Linked DNA regions of Rattus norvegicus. The protein of the gene in region 2 purifies or fractionates together with the protein of the main gene of each other region. This does not show direct contact. Links are inferred from orthologs where the notes say so. Each region holds a gene or a part of one and is shown on either strand. Other genes may lie near its edges.

Evidence for each region.
Region 1: the proteins of Rara (region 2) and Pml purify together in Homo sapiens (affinity purification with western blotting; 6 studies listed by BioGRID, with this or other methods). This does not show direct contact. The link is inferred for Rattus norvegicus from reciprocal best matches to the Homo sapiens genes RARA and PML.

The regions. Positions count from the first base shown.
Region 1 is NC_086026.1:67,537,796-67,541,441, forward strand, and holds part of Pml (PML nuclear body scaffold), read right to left. Parts: intron 3,514-3,646; coding exon 2,933-3,513; intron 1,833-2,932; coding exon 1,657-1,832; intron 1-1,656.
Region 2 is NC_086028.1:84,414,440-84,418,085, reverse strand, and holds part of Rara (retinoic acid receptor alpha), read right to left. Parts: intron 1,003-3,646; coding exon 854-1,002; intron 1-853. UniProt on the Homo sapiens protein: Receptor for retinoic acid. Retinoic acid receptors bind as heterodimers to their target response elements in response to their ligands, all-trans or 9-cis retinoic acid, and regulate gene expression in various biological processes.

The DNA.
Region 1 (3,646 bases), on a different chromosome or scaffold from region 2:
AGGACAGCTCATAACCATCTTTTACCCCAGGATTAGGGGACCAGACACCCTCTTCTGGTCTCTGCAGGTATTGCATGCATATGGTACACTTAACATGCAAGCAAAACACTCATATACATAAAATAAAAGTGAATAAATCTTCTTTTTTAATGAAAGAATTACCACACGGCTTACCAATTCTACTCCTAGGTACTACCTCAAAAGTATGGAAGTTAGATGTTCAACTGCAAACTGTGTGTGGGGCTGGGCAGGAAGCCCAGTGGTAAAGCACGGCCTCCCACGTTCCAAGGCCCGGATATTCCATCCTCAGAACAGGAGGCAGACAGCTTAACCATCTTATCTTTGCCTTTATGGCTCTGCAGTTGCTGGCGTATAAAAGGCCGGGAACTCCCTGTAGGCAAGGCTGGGTGCCTCTGCTTCTGTTCCCTCAGCACAACACTCACCAGAGTTGAAGAAGCAGAGGGATAGTAAGGTGAATGTGTGTGGAGGGGGCAGTGCTATGTCAACTGGTGCTGCCTCTCCTGACAGCACTGGCTATGCAACCATATTCCAGCCTCACATGACCTTTGCTCCCACACATTGCTACGGACTTCTTTCCTGAGTCCTATCAGCCCGCAAGTGACAACCACGGTGAAAAGGAGGAAGCCCTATGAAAAAAAGAGCGCTTGCGTGCCCAAGTTCAAGTTCCAACTAGCTCACCACCGATTCTCTTTGGGTCTTACATCCCTGAAAGAGGTTTTTAGACTCCACACGCTCTTATAGCTCTAAAATTCTCAAAAGTCCTGCCTCCCCCAAGTCCTTTTCCCAGTGCTGTAACCCGCAGCAATCCCTTTTCCATGGCTTACCCCAAGGCAAAGCTAGAAAGGTTTAATACCCTTGCTGCCCACCAGAAGGTCTACCCGGTCCTGGGCCCACATCTTGACATCCAGCCGCACACAACAGAGTGACCAAGCTGGGGAGGGGAAGGATGCCAGGCTCAGGAAGGAAGGAGCTCATCCTGCTGCAGGAGAGCCATGCCTACGAGTGTTGGAAAGAATGCCCGTGCGCTTCTATCCTGAGAAGTCTCAGTTGGAGCAATCAGAACAGGAGGTACCGCCTCAAGAATGGGTAAACTCCCTGCTCCCAGTGGCATGCGTATGAAAGTCACTGAGTCAAAGATACAGCAGAGGGAATGCAACATGAGATTATCTAAGGGTGTTCCCAACCCTGAGGAGCTAGTCTTTTAGGTACATGATGGCCCTGGAATCTGTGGGCTTGAGCTCTGACTCCTAGCCCTAAGTCCAAGAACCAAGTGCGTGGGAGTGGAGGTCCATCTATGCCAGCCCCAGAAATTGGCTCAGACAGTCTGTGCGAGCTTCAGATACATCCCGTGTCACGTCGAACAGGGCTGCAGTTTACACTCTACATTCACTGCCTGCCCACCCATGGGTCTGACCCCTCCTGGACTGGCTTGTGGCACATCAAGAGCTAGTCGGGCATTAAGGAACCTTGCACCAGAGACAGCCAACCCTTCCTTGACCCTCTCCTCCTGAGAGCTCCAGCCCAGCCACCTGCTGTCCTCTCTCAGGCACTCTCCCTCATCACAGGACATCAGGACCTCCAAGCATTCGCGTGCTGTGCCCTCCTACCCCTCCTCACACATCAAACTCCTCTCACCTGCTCAAGGTCAGTCGAGTTCCCAGGAGTGCTGGCTGACTCTGGGTGAGCGCTGGCTGCCTCTGGCTGAGCGCTGGCTGCCTCTGGGTGAGTGCTGGCTGCCTCTGGCTGAGCGCTGGCTGCCTCTGGGTGAGTGCTGGCTGCCTCTGGGCTGGCTCTCCCAGCTACAGCTACATCTGGGGGAAAACCAAAACAAAACATAGAGAGCATTCTAGTAGGAATTCTTAGCTGGGACGGAGACAGAGGGGAGGTCCTTGATGCTTTCCTTGGGTATTCATTCGTGGGTACACCCCCACAGAGGGGCTGGAGTTGGCTGCTGCAGGGATGAACCTAAATAGAATGGAATAGGGTGGAGTGGGGTGGGGTGTGGGCAGTAGCACTGGGTGACACCTTTGTCTCTAAACCCCAAGTGCACATCTATGCATCTGCCTAGATGGAGAAGATAGAAGTCCATCTCCATTCTAGGACCCTATCTTTATAAGCCCCTGGCTTATGTGGTCCAGGAGGGAGCCCTCCTATCCTTGGAACCTGCGGGGAACCAAAAGGGGCACCCCCCAACCGCTGCTCAGAGCTAACGTCCCCGCTTAAAGAGTTAAACAAAACCCCTGAATGTGTAAATGTGTACTCATGGTCTCTGGAAAGCCACTGATGCCACCCGCTCATTCAGGGCACAGCTCCTGGATTTTGATTCAGAGCCAAGCATGTCTCTAGCTATGGGATGTAGCCCAGGATACTCTCCCAGTTGGACAACACTTGAGGTCAGGAACTGGCCTGCCACTCCCATACATCATAAAAGCCCAATAACAGAGACTCTAGGACCTAGAGACTGACAGATGACTGCTTTGTTCTAGGGGAATTCTTCCTTTCAGTGTCTGACTAAACACCTCATAGCTAGGTTTTCTGAGCTTCCTCCTCTCCTAACCTTACAGACCAGTTGACTTCTTTTTTGCTGGGCATAGGAGGCTGATACCGAGAGTGGGCTGCAATGATACCACATCCGGTTCTCAGCTCTCAGTTTCCACCTGTTCCCCAAGGCTCACAAAGTCACATCTACTCCATAATCTTATAAGTTTGTAAAGTGTCTCCTCCAGATGCTTGCCACACCAGATCAGCATATCCTCTTATTCTGTTCCCTGGATCCTCAGACCTGATACTTGTCTTTCATCTACTGAATGGAGATCATCTCTTCCAATTTGCCTGCCCCTGGGTGCAACAGTGAAGCATGGGTCCTTTAAATGACAAACCAGCTGCCTATGAGCATGGCCTCAACTCTTACCTGTCCTCTGGGTGATGAAGGAGACGAGGTCCTGCAGGCACAACTTGAACTCCTCGAAGCCGCTGGTGCGCAGCTGGACTTTGTGATTCTGAGGCTCCTCCTGGCGCAAGCGACAGAGTGCCTTGCGCAGAAAGCCATGCATATCCAGCACCTCCTGTTCGGAGGCGTAGAGCTTCATCCTCTTGACCAGCGCCCCACCAGTGCGGATGCGCTGCAGCACAGCTTCCAGGTGGCCCAGCTGGCCAGCTATTTCCTGGTAGTCGCGCTGGTAGCGCACATTCACCGCCTCGAGCAACTCGCGCTCCTGAGCCTGCACGTGTTCTATCACCTGGCGCACGCGTGCGCGGATCTGCTTCTCAGTGTCTGAGCGTGCGTCATCCAACTGGCCTATGGCTGAGTGCATCTGTGCATGGGCACTGTCGAAGGTTCTGCCCTGCTCCTCCAGAGCCTGCGTCATGGTGCCCAGCTCCTCATGCAGCTGCTGGATCTCCTTACCAATTTCACACTGGAGATGGCTGTGGTTGCGGTCCAGAAGCGCGCATTCACAACACAGAGGCTTGGCGCAGCCTCGGCAGTAGATGCTGTGGACACATAAGACCAACATACTGTTTCTCGGTTTATGCTTTTCCCCTGCTCAGTGTCTATGGATTTGGTTATAGAACCAGATCTATCCATAAAATACCAGACAATAAAAAGAGATGGTTCAACAAGTAA
Region 2 (3,646 bases):
GGATATCCACCACCTAGACAAACATACTAGACAGTCACAGAAAAGCCACGCTGTCCGGGGTTCTGCAATGTAAGCTAAGCTAGCACGGAAACAGACCTGACCAGGGAGCAATGAGACAGGACAAACCAGACAGGGCCAGCACATACATACACAGTCTTACACTAACTACCCTTGACCTCTATCTTATACCTGGAGATGGCTATTCCAGTCTGAGGTTCCTTCCAGGGCCAAGAGCCCCAAGTACTGAGGAGGTATAGCTTCTAGGCCCTTATCTTTGACGGAACAAACTAGAGCAGAGGCCCTGCCATCAATCAGGTAGAGAGATGATATCCCAGCCAGGAAGGGTTAGCCACATGCGTGCCCAGAGACCAGTATAACTGAGATGGCAGGAAACCCAGTAGCCACTGGGGAGCCCGCAGCCTGGACACCTGAAGGGAGGCCAAGGCAGGGTGTCTGCTACTAGCTGTCTCTTGCAAGGAGACCACGGGTAAGCTTCAGGCAAGGCCACTGGGGGCAGGCCTCCTGGGTCCCCAGCCAAGAGCCAGGCAGCAAACGGCCAGCTCACCATGACAACCTGGGAAACAGTGGCAGGGCCAGTGTATGTATACCCCGCTGCTGGCCAGAGGATAGACACAGGGAGAACATGGCAGGAGGGAACTTCTGGTCACAGAGAGCGCTGCTCATTTATGGAGGAGGCCTTACTGCAGGCGTCTTCCTCCACGGTTGCTGAAGAAGCGAAAGTAGGCAGCCTTGGTAACGGCCCTGCTGACTGCACACCGAGGACACGAACGAATGTGGGGGTATCCCGTTTATCCAACCAAGACTGTCCTTCTCTGGGACTCCCTCCACTCACCTTACAGCCCTCACAGGCGCTAACCCCATAGTGGTAGCCGGATGACTTGTCTTGACAAACAAAGCAAGGCTTGTAGATTCGAGGCAGGGGTGGTGGTGAGGGAGGGCTGGGCACTATCTCTTCCGAACTGCTGCTCTGGGTCTCGATGGCTAGGAGAGAAGGAGGAGACTTGAGAGACCCAGGTACCCATCCCCCTGCAACCTGTCCACCTTGTCTGTGCTAATCCTGGACAGAGGTGGTCTCTGCAAACTCAGCTCTCCCCTTCCACAATTCCCCGACAGGCTGACAGGTAAATATTCAGGCCCCATTACTCCTATGTCCCCAGGATACAGCTTCAATCCCAGATCTGTGTGTGAACACATACACACACACACACACACACACACACACACACACACACACGCACACACACGCACACACACGCACACACAGAGAGAGAGAGAGAGAGAGAGAGAGAGAGAGAGAGAGAGAGAGAGAGAGAGAGAACACAGCTGTAATCGGAGAGTAAGGGACTGGCTTTTATTTCAAAACCTTAATACAAACAGCACCCTTGCCAGGGCCCCCCAAAGTTCAGAAGGAGTCAAGGCTTAATGAAGATGGACTGAAGGGCACAGACTAGAGGCAGAGGAAACTGGGGTCGACAGGATGTTCGATGCTGGCCACTCCCTGGCCCCTTTGCGTTTGCTTCCTTTCTACTTCCTCCAGCCCCTCTGACATCAGCCACGCCCCTCCCCCCATCCAACAATCCCCTGGCTAAGGTGGGGTCCAAGGCAGCACACAAGAATCACAAGAGGCTTGGGCAAAGCAGGAGGGCACTCCCTGAGATGACAGGGGGACCTCCTGAAGACAGTGAAAGAGTCCCTAGGGCTCCTAGAAGCCCATCACTTTAGATGCCCCGCGTCTATAGGGAGACACTATGACAAAGGGGGGTCTGTTTCTATCAATGGTCTGTCTGTCTGGCCTAAATACTACGTCCGGGTTACCCCCCTCCATTCCTGTTATTCAGCTCCAAGAGGGCAGCCAGGAGGGGTGACCCAACCAGCGGGGGGCAGTCCCCCCTTTCCCTCCCAAGCAAAAATCTCTGTGCCTGGCTCTAGGCCCATCACCCCAGACAGAACATGGCTATTTGGGTGAGAGCTGTCTGTGCCCAGGGCCTGGGCAGCTAAGGATACAGTGTGACAGATGTAAACTATAGAGAGAAGACTATCCCAGATCCCCAGAGGGCTCTCCGGCAGCCTCTTTTGCCACATCTATTTGCAGAGAGCCAAGGATGGGTGAGTAGCTGCTCTGCTGAGTCCCGCTGAGCTCCAGCCATTCCCAGCGAATGCTAGACGTACACAGTTCTGTGCTCAAGCATCCAACAGCATGTGTTATGTCAGGCTGTAAATGACTCCTGTGGCTGCAAAGCCCAGGCAGAGAGGTTAGGACACTTGGGGACACGGGAGCTTGGCTGCATACTACCACCGTCCTACCTGCAAACACACCGGGAACTCTGCCAATGGCCTTGGCAGGACTTTCCTGGCTCCTACTTGGGCCTGGACATCAGCCGGGCGGTCCAGCATTGCTGTAACCATGTCCCCTCTCTAACCAGAGGGAAAGGACTCATCGGTGCCTACAACCCCCCAAGGGTCCAGAGGACTGACCAGCTGCAATCTGCTGCTCATGCCTACACAGAACTGCTCTGCCCTGGTTTTTCACCTCACTTCCTTCTCAGGAGGCCTGACAAGCAAATCAAACGGGGCGGGAGGGAGGCCTGAGAACAGCTGCTGGGGGGCGGGGTTGGGGGGGCCTGGGTGAGGCCAGGAGGCAAAGGAGTGAAGTGACAAAGGAGTCCTTTGTTGTGTTAACTTTTTCCAAGACGTAAAAACAGTAACAATAGACAATCCAGACTTAGGGGGGCGTCAAGGACAAGGGGGGGTTGCCCTGGCCTCCAATCCTGGTGAGCATTCCAACAAGCACAGGAAGAAGGCATTGACCTCCTCTCTTCCCTCCCCCTAAACCACCCTCCGCCCTGGACCTGCCACCCCCCAAATCCCAACCTCCCAATCGGAGTCAAATTGGAGGGAAAGGAGGACAGAGGGGGACCAGGGTACAGGGCTGAGGGGAGTGGGGTACATGGCACATGGAATCAGGAGAATGAGGAGGAAGAGCAAAAGGCCAAGGACAGAGCAGAGGGGCAAAGGCTCAGAGAAACGTGGAGTTAAAGCCAAGTCCAGAGAGTTGTTTATAGAGATGAAAGCTGTGCTCTTTAAAAATTGTTTTTGGCAAGATGGCGGACAGACCCTAGGAGGGGGTGGGGGCTCGGTGAGGCCCCTTTTCAAACCATCGGCTGTAGCTCCGTCAGTACCCTATCCTCAAATGTCACCCCCGTAACCCCACCTCTGAGGGTTCCAGATCTAGGTTTTGAACTTAAAACCCAAGGTCCAGTCCCCCACCTCCCCAGGCCTGGAGCCAGCACCCGAGGGAATCCAGTGTCGGCACCAAGCATGAAATGTGGGTCTTCTCAGCCCCTGCAGAGTTAGAACACAGTAACAGTGTAGCTCAAGCAGGTGGGGGGAGGGACTATCCTGAGCTGGCCCCACCCCACCGGCCACCCTCCCTGGAGGCCCCAGCCCACAAATCTCTCCACTTCCTGCAGAAAGGCTGGGCTGGAGAAGGACCAGACCTCAGCTCAAAGTTTCAGTGCTCAGCCAAGGGCTGGAACCAGACCAGGAAGCCCGGCGTCCCCTCTCACCACCGCTGCCAGGGTGCCCCTCCCCCCGCTCCCCTCCTGGGCGGGCGCACACGGCGCGG